Xenopus tropicalis: one gene and its partners. The protein of the gene in region 3 binds, or shares a complex with, the protein of the main gene of each other region. Links are inferred from orthologs where the notes say so. Each region holds a gene or a part of one and is shown on either strand. Other genes may lie near its edges. The genes, in order: pigs, pigu, pigt and gpaa1.

Region 1 (4,839 bases), on a different chromosome or scaffold from region 3:
CCTCAGGCTAACACTTGAAATTAACACCTTTGAATTGAATTTGAAACTTAATACAGAGAATTGGGGCTGAACACTCTGGAAGTGCAGCATGTATAGTGCTTGCATATCTCCACAAAGTTCCATGTAGTGCATAAAGTCTCAATATGCTCGGCCTGGTATCGATGTGTGCAAGAATACTGGAAGCTAGCGTCACACATGTGATGCACAGGGTGTTTAACCCATTTATTAACAGCCACAGAAAGTGACAATTATTACGTTTTTGGGGACAACCCTCACTTTGCCAGAACATTGTGGGCTTTCAGGGAAACCTTGAAGAAAAATATGATTATTTAAAGAACAGGACAAAACCTATAAGCACCTTCAAACTGAAATACAAAATTAGCCCTTGGATTTAAAGTATAGTGGCCCAATGAATAGTGACAGTCTATGGCCTCTTACAGCATTTGCCAGACTAGTCCTGTCTATAAGTACTGCCACAGAAAGCTCAATTTAGTCTGAAAATATTTCCATATATAAACAATAGAAGTTTTGCTAACCATGTTTATTTTATGACCCAGCCTGGGCTCTGCCAGTTTAGAAACACAAATTCACTTCTCAGCCTGCCTCTGTGCATTCATAATAGTTCATTTTTCCAGTTACCGGGGTTTACTGGCTTGGTTGTGGTGCTGGCTTTAAAAACCCTTTTTTATTCTGCCCATAGCCAAATATTTACCTGGAAAAAAAATCTGTTTGTGGAATACACTATTTACAAACATTTTAAATATAACAGGAGATATAAAGGTTAAGGGTAATGTCTCACAGAGAGATTAGTCGCCCAAAATGCCTTTCCACCAGCAACAAAGGGAATCGCTGGTGGAAAGGCCTACACATTGCTTTGGTTTTCCAAAGTCGCACAAAGGGGGAAATTTTCATGACTTCGCCCGCGGTAGCAGAGATCTATCGCGGGTGACTAATCACACCATGGGACATTACTCTAAGGGTAACTAAGGCAGGCTCAGCTATGATTTCCAGAACAAGACTTTACCCAAAGGCAAACTTATTGTACAAGTTGAACAAGTAGTTCAAGTAGACATATAATAAATAAATGCACAAATATACACATATATCGTAAATGCAGTAAGAGGCCTTGGTTCCCTGAGATTATGTTGTTTGTTTTTAAGCCTCTCTGTGGGATTAAGTAGAAATAAGTGACTCGGGTCTGGACTGGGAGTCAAAATAGGCCCTGGCATTTCCAGTACACCCATCTTAAATGCATCTTAAAGCAGCCCCTCTGGCATTTGTCAGAATCCACAGATTTCCAGTCTGGACCTGGAGTGACCAGTTTAGGTGGTGGTACAGGTGAACTGCATGCAGGATAAATTAACATGCAATGGCATTAATATTCTCACAAGCAGCGACGTGTTGCAGGGAAAAAAAAACAAAATCTACTTTTGTATCAGAAGAATCCCCTCAAGAGTGTCTACTGCTTTAAGAAGAGCTGCAGTACAACTTCCACAATGTTGTAAAACAGCCAGACATTACTGAAACTAAAAAATTAACACAGGCAATAGTGTTCTCTTCCTAGAAGTCATAGGGTAGTAATGGTAAAATCTTCATTCAGTTTTTAAGGGCTCCTTTTTGCTTTGCTTGTATTCCTTGGCAATCTTTATGAGAGACAAAAAAATGGGAACAGCCATGGGCAAGAATAAAGGAATGTAAATGGCAAATTTTTGATCATCTGGAAAGTACAAGAGATGAAGGAGAGAGGGGTCAAAAAATGCCTTCTCAGAAGAGCTGATTGCCTCCTTGCTTGCTTGAAATGCCGACTCTAGCCGACCTGCTTCTAGCTCAGACAAGGCAGTCTGAACCGAGGACACTGCGTGATACACCTGGGCAAGAGAACAAAGGGGATTAATGTACACATACAGCAGGGTACAATGACATACCCTGTATCTCACATAAAGGTGTGAAATATCTGCAAGGTCACAGGTATCTGTGTTTTGTAAAGTAAAATACTATATGGTAGTAAGTCTACACCTAAGTCTAAAGTAAAGAAAGCTTACTATTACAAGGGAACATGTGACATTTTGTATTGACCTTTTTTCATGAAAAAACTATAAATCTGTAAACTTTCAGTACATCACAAAAAAAATAAAAAATTCCACTTTGCCTTTATGGTTAGCTCTAAAATGAAAAAAAAAAACAAACAAACTATCAAGTACTCAGTGTGGGAACTCAAATACAATCTATGGCTTCTATAGACAGTATGAGTGTGCACACCCATCCTGGAAGCTGTGTTGCATGTAGCAGCAATGGCTGCAGAGCGGTGGCAAGCTGCTAAGGAGACCACCTTTATTGTACACTAAATGACCAAAAGTACGTGGACACCTGTCTGTTCAACATCTTCAAAACCAGAAGGTATCAGTACGAAGTTGTGGTAACACGAAGTTTCTGTACTATACTAGAAAGCTTTCCACTAGAAGTTGCAACATAATTGGTCAAATTGGCCCCCATTCATTCATAAAAAATTAGGCACTAACATAGAGATCAGGCCAGACTCACACTGGCGTTCCAATTCATCCCACAAGTGTCCAGCTGAGTTGAAATCAGACCTTTAAGCAGGTCAGTCAAAGTGTTCTACTCTCATGGATCCAAACCCATTCTGTATGTACCTTACTTTGTGCCTGGGGTTATTACCCTTTTGAAACTAGAAAGGACCGTCCACAAACTGTTGCGGCACAGTAGAAAGCAGAGAATTATAAAGAATCTAATTGTATTATAAAGAGGCATCTGTGTCACCATTCATGATAGGTGTAGCCTTACTAGCCAATTCCAATAATTCATAGTGTTGGTGTAGCACTATACAGTAAGTATATGAAAATGTTAGGGTTAAATTATACAAATAAACAATGTGTTTGTGGCAGAACACCTACTCCAGTTTACCTGTGCTCATACTATTTATTTAGCCCTTTTTTACACCATGCTAAACAAGATATATTTGTATAGTATGAGTAACAGGAAAGCAGCATAAACAATACCATTCTTGTAGGCTTTATCATATTCAGAAGGCTCTGAGCTTGTGGCAGCTGCTAGTGAATTAGGCTGGATTTACTTGGCTGCTAATTCTCTGCAAATATGAGGATTGTGTCCAGGGCTGGCAGTCTGTGCACATTTCACTTACACAAAGCTCTCAAGCATATTACTGCACTTACCTCAGAAGCAACAATATCATTTATTACTATGTTGCCAATCTGATCGAGCAGCTGAGCCAAAGAGGTTAATGTGGTAGTTACTGTAGCAATATTTTCTACCACTCTAGACCAAAGGAGACTGTCTAATTCCCAGTCAGTCAGACCCTCGTTTCCTGGGCTTTCAAGCTGGTAGTCCTCTGGCACAGCGGCCTTTGTAATACCTAATAGTAATCTGGTGGAATACAAAGACATACAAAAAGATTAGTTTGGATTAGAACATGGTGTTAATCAAATATCCTGTATTAATGGAGACATATACCCTAAGAATTACAATGTAGAATTAAAAAATGATGGTACTGGTAATTTTTAAACTGCTAATATCATGTATATGAAACTTGAGCTCCCATGGAATGGCAAAAGCCGAAGTAGGAAGCTTCTCCTGATGCTTCACTGCTCATTTCTCTCTATGGTGTCTCAAAAAAACAATAGAAATGAGCAGGGAAGCATCAAGAGAAACTCTTGTGTGTAATAAGGACCTTACACTGTAAGATCCGCTTGGGCAGGGACTTATGTGAACGATGTATGGATTGGCAATCCTTGGATTCTGGAAAATGCCAGAGCTGCTGCTGTAAATGTCGTAGACTGTGACTATTGGCCCTGTGCAGCCAGGCCCGGATTTGTGGTGAGGCCACAAAGGCCCGGGCCTAGGGCAACACAAATTTAGGGGGGCATGCAGCCTGCCGCAACTACATTTTTAAATTTGGCTCCCACACGGAGCAATGGGGACCTCTCCCCACTGCTCCTAATGGGACCTTAAACGTTTGCGCATGCGCACTTACGCTCGCAGCCTGAGGGAGGGGAGGTGGGGGACGCTCGTTCGCGCATGCGTACACAGGGGGGGGAGGGGCGACCAATGGGGGCGGCCACAAGACAGATCCGGCGCTGCGTGCAGCTGTTGGGGGTCTGTGTAATGCCAGGGCCTATTTTGAATCCCAGTCCAGAGCTGGCCCTATGTCATATGTAAGCACTATATAAAATTAGGGATGCACCAAACCCACTTTGCTAATTAGGATTCGGTTCAACCGGGACCGTGGATTTGGCCGAAACTGAATCCTTCAAAAAAAAAAAACCCTGGTTTCGGCCCGAATCCCGAACCGAATCCGGGATTCGGTGCATACCTAATATAAATAATAAAAAATAATAATTGTGGTGGGAGGGATTTGTAGGCTTAAGTTGCCCTTTAGCTGTAGAAAAGGAATGTACAAATTCAGGTCCAACCTTAGAGGTGGTATGATTATAAAAAATATCTTTGTCTCATCATCTGAAAGGCAAAAAGCAGCACTGGTTACAATTATCAGACACAATGTCTTCTGGTTAGAATAGGGTAAATAATAATTAGCACTAGCATCATCAATCTTAGCAACTTACAAATGCCTATTTCTTACCGCAGTTGTGTCAGGAAAACCTCCATCACTCGCACCATGTCAATATCAATGTGTACCGGGAACTGCAGCTCTCCAAGGTTTCCATAATCAACATTATATATCTAGAAACACAGACATAGACAATGGTTATGACCTGGAATTTTTCTTAAAGAGAAGAGTAATTAGTTCTTTGAAATCATGATTCCTTAGTTAGGCCTGAGCAACCAAAACTGAGACTGCAGCAG
Region 2 (6,067 bases), about 710 kb from region 3:
GGTTGCTATGGGTTACTGCTCTTGGGCAAACTTAGTGCCTTTTATTACATAACCCTGTGCAACTAGATATAGGCTCCTTGCCCTCCCAACCTTCTCAGTGAATCTGAGCTCACATCAGCTCCTGTGGTTTTAGGACTCCTATGTCCATGGATTCTCCATCTCTCCACAAAGGCTAAATGTAAGCATTGTGGGTGGTAAATTATCCATCTCACTAGTGAGCTGCTCTGGACATTTAGTGAGGTCGGCATATATAATTCTGAAAGCAACTGCTTACAAGGTATGAGTTATAATATGGCCAGGGGGAATTAAAGACATATAATAGACTGTTACCAAATTAATCATGGGGTCCACCTTGGTGCATGGTGGCTAAAGCAACTGCAATACCCCCAATAACAGCATTATATTTATACATCCTTCAGTAATTAAACATTAAACCAATATAACTTACCTATATATATTACAGAAGTAAGAATGTGCTGTCCTTGCATACGATATAAACTGTATTAAGGTTTTGCCGGGGCCACTGCTCCTTTTAGGAAAAAATGTACCAGCTGTGGGGAAAACGTAGAGCCTTTTCCTGGTATCCCTAACACAGACTTAAGGGCCGACTACGGGGTGGGCGATATCGGGAGAATCCAGACTAACGACGGGTATAGGACGGGTATAGAAAAAGTCGGTCCAGGGATCGTATCAATGAGCTGATGCGGTCCCCGATCCGACTAGATATTTTAACCTGCCCGATTTCAGGCCAGATAGTCAGTAGTGCCCCTACACGGGCCGATTTGCTGCCCAATCAGTCTAAGGGACCGATATCGGCAGCTACTATCGGCCCATGTATGGGGACCTTTAGAATAATACATAGATCTTTACTGTAATGTATATGAACAAATCTGTAGAGGAACGCCATGGAAAGTAAAGTAATATGGTGGTGCTATGTAAGTTTTTTTTTTCCTGGACCAGTGCATTTTGTCCCTTAGATACTGACACCAGAAATCAAACTTTTTTTTTTTACAGCTATCATAACATTGCCTTAGCATGATATTTATAATATTGTTCTAAAAGTATTTGCCCAATGCTTTTACATTATGTATCTGACCCCCATATTTCTCTGTGAGGGGGCTGCCATATTTGTGCATAAGAAAGGTTGAAAGGACAGTCAGGTTAGCAAAACAGTCAGGTATATGGAACTTCAAGTAAACTATTAAGCTGGCCATACACGCATTGATATATGGTTTGTATGATTTTTGGACTGTGACCAAAATTTTGGTCGGATAACTGCCGATACCCTTGGGGGGCCCACAATGCATTTCCAGGAAGTCACTTTTGTACGATTGGTGTCTTCCAGCTATTTGTTTAGAACATCCCCAGATTTGTTATTTTTATGGCTACAATTTCAGCCATTATCTTAGTTCTAGATCAGTATTGTGCTTAAACTGCTCACCCTAGCTTCCCTGTCTGCCTCACACTCCTGGAACGCCATGTCTACAGCTTTCCTGTGTCACAACTAACTGCTTTCTTTCACTAAGCCCCATTCCTCTTCTACTAATGTCTCCATAGCATAAGGCACAAGCTTCTTCTTTATGGAAGCATCCCGTCCTATATTCTTAAACATCGTCCATCCTTCTCCTAAACTAACAGAGCACTATAAGTACCTTTGGACCAATGGGCCATATCCACAACCAACTCCTTACACTCCCTAAATATATTATCATTTGGATCAGTATTAATATTTGTACTATCATATTTAATATAAAAACACTATATACAGGGAGGACTATACACATTTAAGTTGCAAAGTTTGTGTTTGTCTAAAGACATAGCAACCAATCCACAGGTAGCATATATGGTCACCTGTTGGAAAGCAAACAGCTCATTGGCTGCCATTCATTAGGCACTTGGTTAGTCTTTATACTGTTTTCATATCACCTGGTTAAGTGACAAAATACTGCTGCTCTTTCCAGAGGTACTTTTTAAAAGTTAGTACCCGTATCATTATGTTATAAGAACCAGTTCCAGTGTCCCCTTGAGTGACCTCTATCTCCCCAGCAGCCCCAACTTTGTTGCCTGGGCTATAAAACAATTCTCCTATCACCGAGCGTATCAGCTGTAGCTCACGGAATAGACTCTTCCGTTTTCGCGCTGCATTCTGGGACTCGTAGTTTTGCAAGCTGCTGCTGTTCGTGCTGTGGGAGTGCCTGAGAACTGCAAGTCCCGTGAGCCCCCGCTTTGGCTGGGCGATCCAGCTCTGTGAAGATGGCGGCTCCTTTGGTGTTAGTAGTGCTGGTGGCCGTGACTGTGAGGGCTATTCTCTTTCGCTCCAGTCTGGCTGAGTTTATCTCGGAGCGGGTGGAAGTGGTGTCCCCGTTGAACTCATGGAAGAGAGGTGAGGGAGGGCAAGGCTGGCTGGGCAGGTGCTGGGATGGAGGCTAGGGGGAGGCTGGGGTGAGACGGGGAAGGGCTTTCTGTGACAGCTTGACAGGATGTACAAACCTGGGGCTAAGCATGTGGATGCCCCACCCTACCATATAAACAACAATGTTGGTTGCTCTGGTTAAAAGGTGAGGGATGGCGTGAAGCCTTTGCATTTTGGAGGGGAGTGGGGTAGCAAATGGTTAGTAGAGTAAAGGTATGAGATAGGGAATTGTGCTGACTTGGAGCCCCACTCGTTCTGCTGTCCCTGCTGTGAGTGTAGGCCAACACTGTGACTGCAGCATGTCAAGCAGTGGGGCATCTTCTCATGTGTCAGGTGGGTCTCATTTCCTTGGTGGGACCCCGAGACTGGGAGGGTGGGACCCCGAGACTGGGAGGATTGGGACGCCGAGACTGGGAGGATTGGGACCCCGAGACTGGGAGGATTGGGACCCCGAGACTGGGAGGATTGGGACCCCGAGACTGGGAGGATTGGGACCCCGAGACTGGGAGGATTGGGACCCCGAGACTGGGAGGATTGGGACCCCGAGACTGGGAGGATTGGGACCCCGAGACTGGGAGGATTGGGACCCCGAGACTGGGAGGATTGGGACCCCGAGACTGGGAGGGTGGGACCCCGAGACTGGGAGGATTGGGACCCCGAGACTGGGAGGATTGGGACCCCGAGACTGGGAGGATTGGGACCCTGAGACTGGGAGGATTGGGACCCTGAGACTGGGAGGATTGGGACCCCGAGACTTCCTACGTGTATGACACAACCTGTAGCCCTCAGCCTTTTTTTGTCACTAAACTGGTAATTAACATCTAAAATATGTTAGGTAGGTGGCCCTGAGTAAAGTTAAACCTCAACCTGGACTGCAATCACAGACTGGCCTGTTTTCCCATTTAATAAGAGACATTACCCTTGTTATATACATTTCCTCCTGTATAAGCAATATAACAAACTAGTGTAACTCTCATTATCTCTTGCAGTGGTGGAAGGGATGGCCTTGTTGGACCTTGGCGTGTCCCCTTACTCAGGAGATTTGTTTCATGAGGTAAGAATCTCATTGATCATGAGATACCCATAAATACATGCTTACACTATGCACGGTATATTAAGGTCCCCATACACGGGCCGACTATAGCTGCCGATATCGGTCCCTTGGACCGATTCGGCAGCTAATCGGCACGTGTCTGGGGAGAGCAGAGCGGCCTGGCCGACCGAGATCTGGCCTGAGATTGGCCAGATCTCGATCGGCCAGGTTAGAAAATCCGGTCGGATCGGGGACCGCATCGGCTCGTTGATGCGGTCCCCGATCCGACTGCCCCATTGCCGCCCACATAATCTGATCGTTTGGCCCCAGGGCCAAACGATCGGATTATTTTTTTTACCTAAATGCTCCCCGATATCGCCCACCCGTAGGTGGGGATATCGGGGGAAGATCCGCTCGCTTGGCGACATTGCCAAGCGAGCGGATCTGCTCGTGTATGGCCAGCTTTACTTTTTAAAGCTTTCATATTTTGAAGCTCTAGTTAAATGCAATCCACAGTTGCATTACATGAAAGAACTCTAGTAGATAAGTGTTATCTAGCTTAGTTTGTATGTTTCTGACTCTTGTTTGTGGGCTGAGCGCCGCCCACTGCTTAATTTTGGTTTGTGTGGGTGTATGTTTGTACCTGCAATTAAATATATTGAGTAGTAAGTGTCCAAAACAATGCTACGGTTTCATAGGAAGTGTAGGTCACATGCGTATTTAGAATAATACAGAGTTAGATTCAAAAATTTAATTTTGACATTTGTTTTTTTTCAACAGACGCCGCTCATTTTATATCTCTTCCATTTCCTTGTAGACTATGCAGAGATAGTATTCATGGTAAGTGTATAACCGTACCTTTGTCTCTATTTAATTTAGGGGGGCACAGGCAAAGTCTGCTTTATGGGAGGCAAGGATGGTGAAAGAACAGAACAGCTGACAGAGCTCCAGGTGGCTCTGCTGTCCCAAACGTGTTCTTTCACAAGCACCTTTTCTCCAGAGAAACAACCCCCAACCTTGACAGTTTTTCTTTCCCATTTATTTTCTGGGGATTAGTAGCCATGACAAGTAGTTGCTACTAAGTACAGTCATGTAAAAAAATTAGGACACCCTATGATTTTTGTATTCTTGGAGATATGGATATTTCATCTACATTTTAACAATACTGGGAGATTCAAGTAATATAACTAACCAATTAAAACTGAAGAAAAGACTTTTCAAAATCTTCTGTAAAATGTAATTCTACAAAAATGCAATTTCTGGTGAGGAATAAATCAGGACACCCCCACATTTAGTCCCGCTTTAAATGGCTAAAATCACCCACAGGTGTATCACATCAGGTGCACATGATAAGAACATCATTACTCAGCATTGTGAAGGAGGTTTGTCCTATTAAGGCTGATGCCACATGTGGCGTTTTTCCGCTGCGTATTTTCTAATTCTCTCAGTGGCTGAAAAACGCCTGATATCATCATCCATAGAAATAACTTGAAAAGACGCGAAGCAAACCACACAATGCGGAAATACGCTAGAAAACGCCTTAGCATGGATTTTTCAAGCGTTGGCCGAAATATGCCAGTATTTGCAAAGCAACCTATTCCTATGTATACACAAAGGCAGATGCCAGACCTAGCGGAAATACGCTGCGTTTTTTCCTATTTCGCACTATTAGCACCATGGAAACGGGATTTGCTTACGTCACCAGTACTAGGCTGAAAAACGCCATAGTCAGGGGCTGTATAGGTTGTGCGGCGTTTTTAGGCTGAGAAAAAACGCAGCGGAAAAACGCCACGTGTGGCATCAGCCTTGGCACGGATTTTTCAAGCGTTGGCTGAAATACGCCAGTATTTGCACAGCAAGCTATTCCTATGTATACACAAAGGTAGATGCCAGACCTAGCTGAAATACACAGCATTTTTTTACTATTTTGCACCATTAGCACCATGGAAACGGGATTTGCTATGTCACCAGTACTAGGCTGAAAAACGCCATAGTCAGGGGCTGTGTGGCTTGTGCGGCGTTTTTACGCTGCGTATTTTCTAATTTTCTCGCCGGCTGAAAAACGCACAATATCATCTTCCATAGAAAAGACTCGAAGCAAACCACACAATGTGTAAATACGCTAGAAAACACCTTACCACGGATTTTTCAAGCGTTTGCCATAATACGCCAGTATTTGCACAGCAAGCTATTCCTATGTATACACAAAGGCAGCTGCCAGACCTAGCAGAAATACGCAGCGTTTTTTACTATTTTGCACTATTGGCACCATGGAAACGGGATTTGCTATGTCACCAGTACTAGGCTGAAAAACACCATAGTCAGGGGCTGTGTGGCTTGTGCGGCGTTTTTAGGCTGAGAAAATACACAGCGTAAAAACGCCACGTGTGGCATCAGCTAAACCTCAGACATTTTGTTTGGTGTGCTCCTGGCTGTTGAGGTGAGAGTGAACACCATGGTAAGATCAAAATAGCTGTTTGAGGCCTTCAGAAAGAAGATTGTAGCAGCTAATAAGTCTGGTAAGGGATTTAAAAGCTATTCCACTGTCTGGAAAATAGTCTACAAGTGGAAGTCTTTCAAAACAACTGCCAACATGCCCAGTTCTGGCCGTCCAAGCAAGT
Region 3 (5,918 bases):
TTCAAGGTCTTTGCTGCCACTAATACCAGCAATAAGTTAATAACAATACTTTTCGATACAATGCATGCAGTTAGGGGGGGCTCTGTGTGGCAGCAAACCCAGCCAGATAAGGCTTACAGTAGCAGAAGGATTCACATTCCCTTCCCAGGACACAGTACTTTCAGTGCTTTATATGGCCATTGTACCAATGCTATTTAAAAGGCCTTGAAGAGTTTACCTTTCCCCAGCCAGAAACGTCAACATAGATTTTACTTTGTGATGCCAGAGGACACGACTCAGTTACAGTACGGGAAAACATTTTAAATATGGACCAATCTGGAAAACAAAAACGCAATGCATTTTTTATGGAATTTACAAAAGCACTTATAACTTCTGTCTATAGAAGGGAAGAGACACTTCTTATAAACAGTCCAAAATCAGATATGAATGTACTTAGTTACCTCTTTTTCCCTGGCCACTAGAATACATATCGAACACCACAGTAAGGGCCTGCCTTAACTCCCAGGAGACACTTGAACAATCTGCATTCTGAAAGAGAAAATTATGTCAGGAGAGGACCAAACTGACCCATAAATGAGGTCCTATCCCTACAGGCCTGCATAAGGCTGCCCAGGGCCAAACAATGGTATTAGCCCAATTTGCCAAAATTAGCCAAAGATCCCCTTGTTTGGCAACCTTGCCAAATGAGCAGATTTTTTTTACGTCTTTGCCCTAATGCATTATCATTTATAAATTACTGTCTCTGCTTTATAGTTAGCATTCCAAGCCCCATCTTATGCAAAAGGTGAGGGGGGCTGGTTTAAAAAAAGTACTTACCTGGCAAATTGGCCTTATATGCACAGACTGGGAGTGGTAACTGCTGTGATACAAGCGTTCAGCCCTCAGTAGAGATGCCAGGCCGGCCTGTGTAGAGAGGAAGAAACAAAGTTACAAGGGAGCAGAAATAGCAAAGTAGCCACATAAAAACATGCTGGAGTGAGATGGCATATAAAGCCACCGAACACCAGGGGCCATTGGGAGAAGCCACCGAACGCCAGGGGCCATTGGGAGAAGCCACCGAACGCCAGGGGCTATAGCAGGGGTGGGCAAACTACGGCCCGTGGGCCACATCCGGCCCCTTGGCCTTTTTAATCCGGCCCGCCGATGACGCCAAGTCTCATCACGCGAGACTTGGTGTCATTGGCGGGCCGGAATTAAACAGACTAAGGGGGCGTAACGCTGGCCCGGCCCTGCCCGCCCTGGCCGGGTCTGGCCCGGGGGTAAGTAAATGTGGCCCGTGAGCCAAAAAGCTTGCCCACCCCTGGGCTATAGGGAGAAGCCTCTGAACGCCAGGGGCTATAGGGAGAAGCCTACGAACACCAGGTTTTTCAGAAGGCGTTTATTTGGGGTGACAGTGAAAATCATGAAATGTACATAAAGGGAATATTTTCAGCCATGAAGTTACAATAGTTAAAATACCTTGGACCCACAAGGCAGCAGTTTCTTCCATGGAGTTAGATTTTCTGTGCAAACTATCTCTCTGGGAAGCGTGGCATATCTGAGCAGGTGATGATCTGTAACTGTAGGAACAGATAAGATGGATAATATTATAATTATTAATGTGCAATCACCCGTCCCAACATGCATATAGATGATACCTGCATAAGGCACTTGGTCCCTGCAATACACATCCCATTCCACATGTGTTATTCTAATGCTACGCCCACAGAAACCTCTTCAGATGCTCTGTAGCCATCGCACACTTACTGTTGGCCACTCCAAGGGGCTTGAAGGATGCAGTCGGAGTAACTGTGTTAGTAGAGTCGATGAAGTTCAGAGAGGCACAGAAAATACCCGATAAGATGTTACTGAGCTCTTTCCAACTTTTATTAACACTACAATCAAAAACATATACACAATACAATAAATGTATATGAAATCATGAAATTCAGTTATTTGCAAGTCTGTGGGAGGGTATAGCGATGCTCAGCAACAGGCCCAGATTTGTGGAAAGGCCACAAAGGCCTGGGCCTAGGGTGGCACGCCGCCCCGGGGCACCAAAATATTAAAGTTTTTCTCACAAATGGAGCAATGGGGACCTCTCCCCCGCTGCTCCGTATGCGACTGTAAAGACCCGTGCATGCTTGATCGCGAGTTTGCGCATGCGCGGGGGCTGGGGCGATGGACAGAGGGTGGCTTACAAATCTGGCCCTGCTCAGCAAGCAACTATAACGTACATATATGCTATTGCTCAGGGCAGCACCCATACACACATGTATCACCCTTACCTCTGCAGTTAAACAGGAACTCTACCCAAAAACTATTTTTATAGTGAAAGAAAATATAATAATTCTGCTTTCCATAGTGGGTGTTGCACAGAGTCTCTGGAAATCAAAGGGACTTCAAGTCCAAGAATCCATTGCTTCAAAGTGGAACAAGGTAAAGGAGGGGTTTTGCGGCACTGCGAGTATATATATATATATATATATATATATATATATATATGCCAGTTACAGAGAGGAAAAGGAATTGCTGGCCTTTTACATCCCGCATTCAGATTAATGGCAGAGCTGTTTAGGAACTCACTCAGTAACAGAATCCTGAAACCAGACCCAGAGTTCTGCTCCAGTAGGGGCCTGCAGGAGAGGTGGGCCCCATGCCTTTGTACGCCAGAATCCCTGGGTGAATGAAAGGTGCAGCTCCTGAATGGAGTACTTAGAGATGAGCTGGCCCAGCACTTTAGGGAAGATCCTGTAGTGGGAGACTGATGGAGAAAAGATTTAGATGTTACCCAGCATATGAAAAACTGGTGTGTGTACATACATACATACATACATATATATATATATATATACATATATCAGTCCCAAAATCGGCACTCACCAAAATGGCGGATTAGAACCGGGTGCTAACCATAAATTGACATATTCTCCTTCAGAAAGCACTCACGGTATTTGCAAAAAGAGTGAGTATTTATTTACACAAAAATGTCTACGCGTTTTGATCCGTCCTGATGACGATCCTGTATGGATCGAAACGCGTAGACATTTTTGTGTAAATAAATACTCGCTTTTTTTGCAAATACCGTGAGTGCTTTCTGAAGGAGAATATATATATATATATATATATATACAAACCACGAGGGTTCAGCACTCCTTAGCAAATGGCTAATTGACCCAGGTGCTACCGATTCAAGCAATTTCAATAAAGTCCACAGGTATAGCGGTGCACACTGGGAATCTTTTAAAAATTAGCTTTTATTGAAATATATAAAACTTAATACACTCTCTCTAGATATGAAGAACTAGATACAGCAGCGAAGAGATCCGCACTCACAGGACTTATACAATGAATCTGGTGTTTATTGAGAAGACTAACGTTTCGGCTATATCACTAGTCCTGTGAGTGCGGATCTCTTCACTGCTGTGTGTATATATATATATATATATATATATATATATATATATATATATAGGAAATAATAGCTGAAATCATCATAATTAATAGTGGAGAGAGAGAGAGTTCCATACTAGCTGTAGGTACCTATTTATGTTATATAGGGCCTGATTCTAGTCATGGGTCCCCATATGTTCCAAAACTAAAACTCCCAACGATCAGCAAATTGCCAATCAAACCCTGCTGGGGAGTGTATTCAATCAGTATCAGGGGCTACCAATCCCAGAGACAGGGCGTTATCAGTGCCCCCCTCCTCCCATTCGCACTCTGTGTTATTTCCTGTCAGTTCTTGCACTGCAACTCCCATCATCCCTGGCTAGAGGTAACTGGATGCCGAACCCGTAACCCAGTAGTAGGCTGAGGTAAGGCACATCCCCACAATATAACTGCGCTGCGGGCCTCCCCAAGCTCCTCACCCTTCTCCTTCCTCAGGTCGGCATCCAGGCGGGTCCGAAACTGAAAGGTGGCGGCGATGTCCCCGGAGCGCAGCGGTGTGAGGAGCAGCTCCTCTCGGAAGACATCACTCCCAGGCGGCTCGGCACACTGCCCGGCCCAAACGCTGGCCCACAGAGCAGCGGCTACAAGCACAGCGCCGGCCATCTTCCACCCTAGCAACCCTTCCGCTTCCCTTTGGCAATGAAAGGAATTAGCCAATTAGATACGGGTTCAGCAGTCTTAGCCAATCAAACCGACCAAGGGCGTGAATAAACTTTGACAGCCGATCGAGGGACTAATCAGGGCAAGATATGGATTCGTCCAATCGAAAGCGAGAGAGAGGAAACTGGTAATGCGCATGCGTTCCGTAGTTCCGTAGTGCTTGAGTAATTCATTGGTACTGGTGCTTAAATAAATATAATGATGTACAAAATATAATAATGTGCCAAGAGGTGCAATGAACCAAAGAGAAAAGCGAAAGAATAGAATTGGTGAACTGAGTCCGCTTGAAAAGTAATGGACTTGACTAGAGAATGCAGTTAGATGGCCTGGGTTTGTTACAAGCTAGCAAGCCCTCTGTGCAGGAGTTCCACAAGATAAGATAAGGTATATATGCGAGTAGCAGTCCCTGCACAGCTTTTTTAACTATTGAAAAGAAGTTAATGGGAGAAAGAACTATAAAGAGGGAAGGAGAGCAGGGCAAAGTTGCTGAGAGGAAAGAAAATAAAAGCACAGAATGCAGAGAAAAGGGAGATTAAGAACAGAAAACATATAGATAACAGATAATGTGAGTAAAGGTGGCCATACATGTGGCGATCTGACGATGTTTCGTGCAACCATCGGTCGCACGAAACATCGTCAGATCCGCCACACACCATTCAGGGCTGAATCAGCAGGTAAGGAGGTAGAAACGGCAGATAAGGAGGTAGAAACAATAGGATTTCTACCTCCTTCTGCCGATTCAGCGCTGAAGGGAGATTTTGGTCAGGCGCCTTCTATGGCGCCCGATCAAAATTTTCAAACTGGTCTGATCGGCGAGTCGACCGATATCATCAGCTTCCTGCGATATCGGTCGACTCGCCGACATACCATACACGCACCTAATATCGTACGAAACGAGGTTTCGTACGATATTATCGGTGCGTGTATGGCCAGCTTTAGAAACTACAGCAGGAAAACAGAGCAGAGTGCAAAGGAGAAGGGAAGAGTATGGATAAACAGAAGAAGAAATGCATGTAATATATAGAAAGGGAAAAAAAAGCAGAACGGACCAATTGCAGTTTAGCACCTCATTAATAAATGACTCCTCTGGAATAGTGGAGGAAAAGATGAGCATGAAACTATGAAAGAAAAGTAAGCTGCAGCCATTTAATCTTTATTATTTATAGCTGTGGGCCTGTGCCCTGGTTGTGGTGCGGCACTGCTACGCTGGTTGGACTGTACCTTATTCTATAATCCAGGGATTTACTCTTGAGCCACACTCAGATGTAAAAAGTGTTGGTGAGCCACACAAGCATGAAAAAAAGTTCTTTAGGAATGCCAAATAAGGGCTGTGATTGGCTATTTGGTGTGTCTTTGTGCTTCCAAAACTTACCTCCAAGCCTGAAATGTAAAAATGGCGCCTACTTTGAGGCCACTGGGATCAACATCAAAGGGGGTGGTGGTTGCCCCCGAGACACTGGTTGGGGATCACAGGTATAATCTGACAAAGCTCTGCTGACTATCCAGCAGAAGGGAAAGGGGAGCAGTGAGAAGTTTAAATGTGCCACCTTATGCACTACTCCCTCCTTCCATTTATAAAGCAGCACAATTCAGCAGCAACAGCCCCCTAAGTTTGCTCATAGCCTGTACAAAAAGATACCATAAAACTATGGCAGCATAGGGATTCCCCTGTACTAAGCACAATTCAGCAGGAACAGCCCCCTAAGTTTGCTCATAGCCTGTACAGAGAGATACCATAAAATTATGGCAGCATAGGGATTCCCCTGTACTAAGCACAATTCAGCGGAAACAGCCCCCTAAGTTTGCTCATAGTCTGTACAGAGAGA
Region 4 (5,400 bases), on a different chromosome or scaffold from region 3:
TTGCCCTTTTTGGCAGGATTTGGATTTGGCTCAATCATAAAAGGGTTTGCTCAGCTTTGCGTTTACTTTTAGTAGGATGTAGACACTGCTATTCTGAGACAGTTTGCAATTGGTCTCCATTTTGTATTATTGTTTTTGAGTTATTCTTCTTATTTAGCAGCTTTCCAGTTTTGGCCCAAATTACCCTAGCAACCATGCGGTGATTTAAATGAAAGGCTGGAATGCACATAGGGGAGGGGCTGAATAGAAAGATAAGGAATAAAAAGTAACAATAACAATAAAACTGGAGCCTCACAGAAAATAATACAATAACCATAAAAAATAAATAATGAAGACCAATTGCAAAGTTGCTAGAAATAGAACAATAATTATTAATTGCCGGGCGGGACTGTGACAGATCAGAGACCACACAAGACCAACAGCGGCACCGTTACACAGTGGATCGGAGCAGAGGATTTCTACTCACCTTGGCCCAGTAGGTTGCACAATGGCCGCCACAGGGACGATAGTGACCGCCAGCAGGAATCCCAGGGAGAAGTTAATGAGGGAGATGCAGCCCAGAAGGACAGCGAGGTACAGTAAGGAGATCAGCTTGAGAGTCATCCAGCCCTGGTCCGACCCGGCGCCGCTCAGAACTCTGTAACGGCAAAGCATCAAATGGCTACTGCACTGCTTATACCCCTAGCAGCCTGAGGGGCAACACCTTACGGGGTAACAACGAAGCACAAGGGGGCAGCCTGAGGGGCAACACCTTACGGGGTAACAACGAAGCACAAGGGGGCAGCCTGAGGGGCAACACCTTACGGGGTAATAATGAAGCACAAGGGGGCAGCCTGAGGGGCAACACCTTACGGGGTAATAATGAAGCACAAGGGGGCAGCCTGAGGGGCAACACCTTACGGGGTAATAATGAAGCACAAGGGGGCAGCCTGAGGGGCAACACCGAAGCACAAGGGGCATCAGAACCTCGTGTTTGGGCTCTACATCCCTGAATGGGGGGGGATTTATCGTTAACTTGCTTTGTTGGAAGGTTTAAGCTTCCTATGGAAGCTCAGAATAGTAGAGGAATAGAATAGTCACTGACAGCCTGTCCTTGGCACATGTTCAAAGGGAAGTTAATCCCCTCATTGGTTTCTATTTCACCCAGTTTCAAGGGGAAATTAATCCCCTCATTGCTTTCTATTTCACCCAGTTTCAAGGGGAAATTAATCCCCTCATTGCTTTCTATTTCACCCAGTTTCAAGGGGAAGTTAACCCCCTCACTGTTTTCCATTTCACCCAGGTTCAAGGGGAAGTTAATCCCCTCATTGCTTTCTATTTCACCCAGTTTCAAGGGGAAATTAACCCCCTCATTGCTTTCTATTTCACCCAGTTTCAAGGGGAAATGAATCCCCCCATTGCTTTCTATTTCACCCAGTTTCAAGGGGAAATGAATCCCCCCATTGCTTTCTATTTCACCCAGTTTCAAGGGGAAATGAATCCCCCCATGGAAATTAACGTTCCGCTTAAACTTGAATTTTGAGTTTTAACAATTCAGGCATTATCGTGCCATTTTATAATTACAGCAGCGATCGAGTTTAATTCGAATGTATACATGTTGAGTTTATACGACTTTCAAGGCCAAAAGGCAACGAATTTTATTAAGTCAGGCCTATAGTGTTGGTGCTAGCCTCTGTGGCTACTAGCAGCTAAGGCTAACGTGCCCAGGTCACTACATGTGTGCATTAGTGGTCAGTAGCTGTGCCAATCATGGGTGCTGCCAGCCCGCTGCCACTGCCTACCTGCCCACAAGGGCCCCTCAAGCTGGCGCAGCTGTGGCTCAGTACCTGTGTGTGTTGTGGGGCAGTGCAAGTCCTGCCACGTAGATGGCGATAGCGGTGAGAACAACGGCCTCGGATTCAGAGACAGGGAAGTGGTCAGTGGCCATCTCCTGGCTCATTACTGGCAGGTAGTACAGACTCAGGCCGGTAGCGTGGCAGATCACAATGGGGGTCGCGAGGGACAGGATTCCGGGTCTTGGATCCTACAGGAAGAAACAGATAGATGTATATATATATTACTGTGCTGGGGGGTCAAAGTGGTTGTTTCTCGTAGCCCTTTTGCCTCCTCTGATCCCTTACAGACCCAACGGTACCTGCTCTGTATCCATGACTCCGTCCTCAGCCGTCCCATCCGAGCGCCTCAGCTTAATCCACAGGTCCAGGGAGTAATTACATCGTTAAGGAGAAAGCAGGGAGCAAATAATTCAAAAACAATATAAAATAAATAAGGAAGACCAATTGCAAAGCTGCTTAGAATTGGTCATTCTGCAACAGGGGTGGGCAGACTTGGAAATGCGGAAGTGCGGCGTGAATGCGTATGTACGTGACTTCCGCATCCCCGGCTTCATCGAGGCCCACCAGAAATCCACGGGTGGACCGTGATCGACGTATTGGCCACCCCTATTCTACTACATACCCAAAAGATGAACTGCCCCTTTAAAGTTTACTTTTGTTCAGCTTTAATAGAAAACCTTCCACTTTCTGCTGGCTGTGTAGGAGAACTTACAGTCCCTCCCACTGTAGGAAGGCAGCCAATCAGCAGCTAGGCAGACCGAAGAGGAAACCGCAGTTTATCTTTCTGTATGTAGGTAGCACTATGACTGGCTACCCATATCCAACTGTGCTCCAGGGGGACAGTACAGCCCCCGGGGTTTGGGGAAAGGATATCCTGAGGATCAAAATGAGGATGAAGAAGCCGATGGCCGGCATGTAAATCCCGATGGAGACAAAGCGGGACAGGCACGGCAGCAGGTAGAAGAAGTACGACTGGTGCAGGCGCTCCGAGAGGTTGTTCAGCTTCCGGAACATTCCTTCCAGGGTCCTATAGAAGAGAAAAAATGATGGTGTCAGCAAGTTAAACAGCACATTTAAGTAATGAACAGGGGACGCAAACCTAAAACATAAAAAGCTGGGGAGCAACACAAGAATAAAAAAAGGTACCTGGGGCTGCCAAATAAGGGCTGTGATTGGTTATTTGAAGCCCCTATTTGGACTGGCAGCCTACAGGAGGCTCTGTTTGGTCTTAATGCCTCCAAAAATTCAAAAATAAGTACCACCAGTTGGCGACCATTGCACTAGCATATTGCGAGGGAGTCAGAATTCTAAACAGTCACCAAAGATGCCCAAGTTGGGGCTGGAAGTTTCCACATCACTATGGAGACGTTTCCAGAAATGTATCCACAGGATTTACACATGATATGATGTATGTATGTAAGTATGTATGTATGCAAGTATGTATGTATGCAAGTATGTATGTATGCAAGTATGTATGTATGTATGTATGTGTGTATGTATGTATGTATGTAAGTATGTATGTATGCAAGTATGTATGTTATGTAAGTATGTATGTATGTATGTATGTGTGTATAAGCCAGGGCTGGAACTAGGGGTTGGCAGAAGAGGCAGCTGCCTAGGGCGCAACGATTAGGGGGCGCCAGGCAGGAGCCTCTCCTGCCTACCCATAGTCCTCCTTCTTTGTCATTGCCCTGCCGCTTGTCATTAGCGGTGGGGGCAATGACCCATAGAATTGCACACACCCCCCACGAACTGTGTATGCGCACCAAAGCACCATAAGAACACGCTGCTCTATGACAATGAAGGAGGACTAGGGGTAGGCAGGAGAGGCTCCTGCCTGGCACCCCCTAATCGTTACGGGGGGGGCATGGTTGCCTAGAGTGCCCGCCCCTGGTTTAAGCCACTAAAAGTCACCTGGGTTGTGAGGAGATACTGAGAACAACTAGATTGTGAGGTGTACGAAGCTTGAAAACTGTGGTACACCCCCCATTCTAGTCATTCTCAGTAACTCCTCAAACCGCCAGTGAGGATCAAGGTGACAGTGGGGGAAGATGGCCACTTACTTTCCCACTGTGTTCATGTCATATTTGTACTGGCGGAAGCTGTTGATGCCCCGCAGGGTGATGGCTTCGATGTGGTAGCGCAGGAAGAGGCCGTGGTCCCCTTGGGGTCTCCCAGAGCCCTGTTTCAGCATCATGATCAGCATTGTCTGGAGGCTGTGCAGGTACCCGGGGAAGGTGTCGAAGTCAGTTCTCTGAAGCTGAATGTAATAGAGAGAGATCAGGGCTGAGCCAGGCAATACAGGAGCACAAGGAAGTGCAACAGGAAAGGCAATGGGAGCGGCCTGACCTTGCCCTGAATGGTGCAGAGCAGCGTGTTCTTCTGGCAGAAGGCGTAGAACAGGTTGACCAAGTCAAGGTTGGGTAGTTGCCCATTTAAACCTTCCACCACCAAATCGAAGCTGGTGATCACGTCGCTGCTCATCTCCAGGGAAACGGCGGCCTGAATGGCTCCGGCCCGACCCAACATCACCGACGACTTTATCTCTGCAAGGACATGAGTGTGAGGGAGATCGGCAAGGCATGTAATACTCTAATAATTATCTACTCTATTAATGAGGTAGGAGCTGGGCTGCGTCAGAGCATTAATCAAGCACCTTCCACCTACAGGAAGGCAGCGCAGGCCAAACCGCTATGTGCGAGTACCAATAACTGGTTAACTCCATTATTGAAGAGACCTGCGCAATTGGTCTACATTTGTTGTTATTTGTGTTTTTTGAATTATTGACTTTGTGTTCAGCGGCTCTCCAGTTTGGAATTTCAGCAGCTATCTGGTTGCTAGGGTCCAATTTAACCTAAAAACCAGACCGTGGTATGAAAGAGGCATGGGCAATATGAATAGGGGAGGGGCTGAATAGAAAGATAAGGAATAAAAAGTAACAATAACAATAAAACTGGAGCCTCACAGAGCAATAGGGTTTGGCTGCCGGGGTCAGTAACCCCTATTTGAAAGCTGCAAATGAAGGCAATTAATTAAAAAAACTGGAAAAAAAATAACACCAATTGAAAAGTTGCTAAGAATAGACCATTCTACAACATAGTAAAAGGAAAAGTTTACCTTTAACTCTAGTAATAAGTAGAATAATAAAGGTCCCCATACACCTACGGGTGGGCGATATCGGGGAGTGTGTAGGATATTTCGATCTTTTGGCCCTCGGGCCAAACAATCAAATTATATTGGCGGCAATGGGCCAGTTGGTTCGGACGCCGCATCAATGAGCCGATGTGGTCCCCGATCCGACTGAATTTTCTAATTTCCAATTTCAGGCCAGATATCGGTCGGGCAGGCCCCTCGTTTCTGCCCCTACACGGGCCGATAAGCTGCCGAATCAGTCCCAATTGGCCCGTGTATGGGGACCTTAAATCTCCTACCCACAGCCTGAAGGTGTACAGGGCCCCGTGACGAGCAAACACTGATATCCACCAAGGTGCCCCGGGGCACGGAGGCATCACATACCTGTCACATTCACATCATGGTAGCCCTCCAGCCAGGCCTCCATCCCAAT

Evidence for each region.
Region 1: the proteins of pigt (region 3) and pigs are in contact, whole or in part, in a cryo-EM structure (PDB 8IMY), measured with the Homo sapiens proteins. The link is inferred for Xenopus tropicalis from reciprocal best matches to the Homo sapiens genes PIGT and PIGS. Residues at the interface, in NP_057021.2 of Homo sapiens: Pro26, Arg27, Val63, Ser64, His65, Tyr66, Arg67, Lys71, Gln75, Lys79, Tyr80, Val133, Gly136, Lys191, Leu193, Pro194, Cys195, Ser196, Lys198, Ala199, Glu270, Pro271, Pro273, Leu274, Tyr526, Ile529, Cys530, Cys533, Val536, Ala537; in NP_149975.1 of Homo sapiens: Thr9, Glu12, Val13, Gly16, Ala19, Ala20, Phe23, Thr230, Pro238, Lys239, Tyr244, Ile247, Glu248, Val251, Gln256, Val270, Asp271, Ser272, Gln273, Ile274, Tyr276, Tyr277, Met279, Ser309, Arg310, Ser313, Ser314, Ala315, Ala316, Phe513.
Region 2: the proteins of pigt (region 3) and pigu are in contact, whole or in part, in a cryo-EM structure (PDB 8IMX), measured with the Homo sapiens proteins. The link is inferred for Xenopus tropicalis from reciprocal best matches to the Homo sapiens genes PIGT and PIGU. Residues at the interface, in NP_057021.2 of Homo sapiens: Tyr361, Gly362, Leu363, Gln364, Lys365, Arg394, Leu395, Tyr396, Val397, His398, Tyr416, Pro418, Ala419, Gln420, Asp421, Arg422, Gln445, Glu447, Leu450, Leu451, Lys452, Trp453, Thr454, Pro518, Thr519, Pro520, Asp521, Phe522, Ser523, Met524; in NP_536724.1 of Homo sapiens: Glu30, Lys42, Arg43, Val45, Glu46, Ser49, Leu50, Leu53, Val55, Ser59, Gly60, Ala61, Val62, Pro265, Asp266, Leu267, Pro269, Leu273, Trp275, Tyr276, Phe277, Phe278, Ala279, Glu280, Met281, Phe282, Glu283, Phe289, Phe293, Asn296.
Region 4: the proteins of pigt (region 3) and gpaa1 are in contact, whole or in part, in a cryo-EM structure (PDB 7W72), measured with the Homo sapiens proteins. The link is inferred for Xenopus tropicalis from reciprocal best matches to the Homo sapiens genes PIGT and GPAA1. Residues at the interface, in NP_057021.2 of Homo sapiens: Gln91, Gly92, Phe93, Arg95, Arg97, Tyr98, Ser108, Phe211, His212, Thr213, Ser214, Asp247, Phe249, Ile250, Arg340, Gln355, Tyr357, Val358, Ser359, Gly360, Tyr361, Gly362, Leu363, Leu371, Tyr373, Lys441, Asp459, Pro460, Asn461, His462; in NP_003792.1 of Homo sapiens: Arg97, Ser98, Val99, Gly100, Glu102, Tyr104, Arg134, Ala135, Pro136, Arg137, Ala138, Ala139, Ser140, Thr141, Glu142, Arg171, Gly172, Gln173, Ile174, Tyr199, His200, Asp201, Val202, Leu212, Gln213, Gly214, Arg215, Ala218, Arg311, Tyr312.

The regions. Positions count from the first base shown.
Region 1 is NC_030678.2:34,656,217-34,661,055, reverse strand, and holds part of pigs (GPI transamidase component PIG-S), read right to left. Parts: intron 4,717-4,839; coding exon 4,616-4,716; intron 3,403-4,615; coding exon 3,192-3,402; intron 1,869-3,191; coding exon 1,593-1,868; 3' UTR 1-1,592. UniProt on the Homo sapiens protein: Component of the glycosylphosphatidylinositol-anchor (GPI-anchor) transamidase (GPI-T) complex that catalyzes the formation of the linkage between a proprotein and a GPI-anchor and participates in GPI anchored protein biosynthesis.
Region 2 is NC_030686.2:41,148,255-41,154,321, forward strand, and holds the start of pigu (phosphatidylinositol glycan anchor biosynthesis class U protein precursor), read left to right. Parts: upstream 1-2,203; 5' UTR 2,204-2,253; coding exon 2,254-2,383; intron 2,384-2,597; exon of another isoform or gene 2,598-2,712; coding exon of another isoform or gene 2,713-2,746; intron 2,747-3,402; coding exon 3,403-3,467; intron 3,468-4,226; coding exon 4,227-4,286; intron 4,287-6,067. UniProt on the Homo sapiens protein: Component of the glycosylphosphatidylinositol-anchor (GPI-anchor) transamidase (GPI-T) complex that catalyzes the formation of the linkage between a proprotein and a GPI-anchor and participates in GPI anchored protein biosynthesis.
Region 3 is NC_030686.2:41,856,222-41,862,139, forward strand, and holds the start of pigt (GPI transamidase component PIG-T), read right to left. Parts: upstream 4,116-5,918; 5' UTR 4,036-4,115; coding exon 3,852-4,035; intron 2,744-3,851; coding exon 2,566-2,743; intron 1,875-2,565; coding exon 1,747-1,874; intron 1,560-1,746; coding exon 1,459-1,559; intron 904-1,458; coding exon 817-903; intron 529-816; coding exon 441-528; intron 316-440; coding exon 218-315; intron 1-217. UniProt on the Homo sapiens protein: Component of the glycosylphosphatidylinositol-anchor (GPI-anchor) transamidase (GPI-T) complex that catalyzes the formation of the linkage between a proprotein and a GPI-anchor and participates in GPI anchored protein biosynthesis.
Region 4 is NC_030682.2:151,229,289-151,234,688, reverse strand, and holds part of gpaa1 (glycosylphosphatidylinositol anchor attachment 1 protein), read right to left. Parts: coding exon 5,352-5,400; intron 4,382-5,351; coding exon 4,185-4,381; intron 4,096-4,184; coding exon 3,899-4,095; intron 2,863-3,898; coding exon 2,709-2,862; intron 2,207-2,708; coding exon 2,135-2,206; intron 2,024-2,134; coding exon 1,827-2,023; intron 638-1,826; coding exon 467-637; intron 1-466. UniProt on the Homo sapiens protein: Component of the glycosylphosphatidylinositol-anchor (GPI-anchor) transamidase (GPI-T) complex that catalyzes the formation of the linkage between a proprotein and a GPI-anchor and participates in GPI anchored protein biosynthesis. Binds GPI-anchor.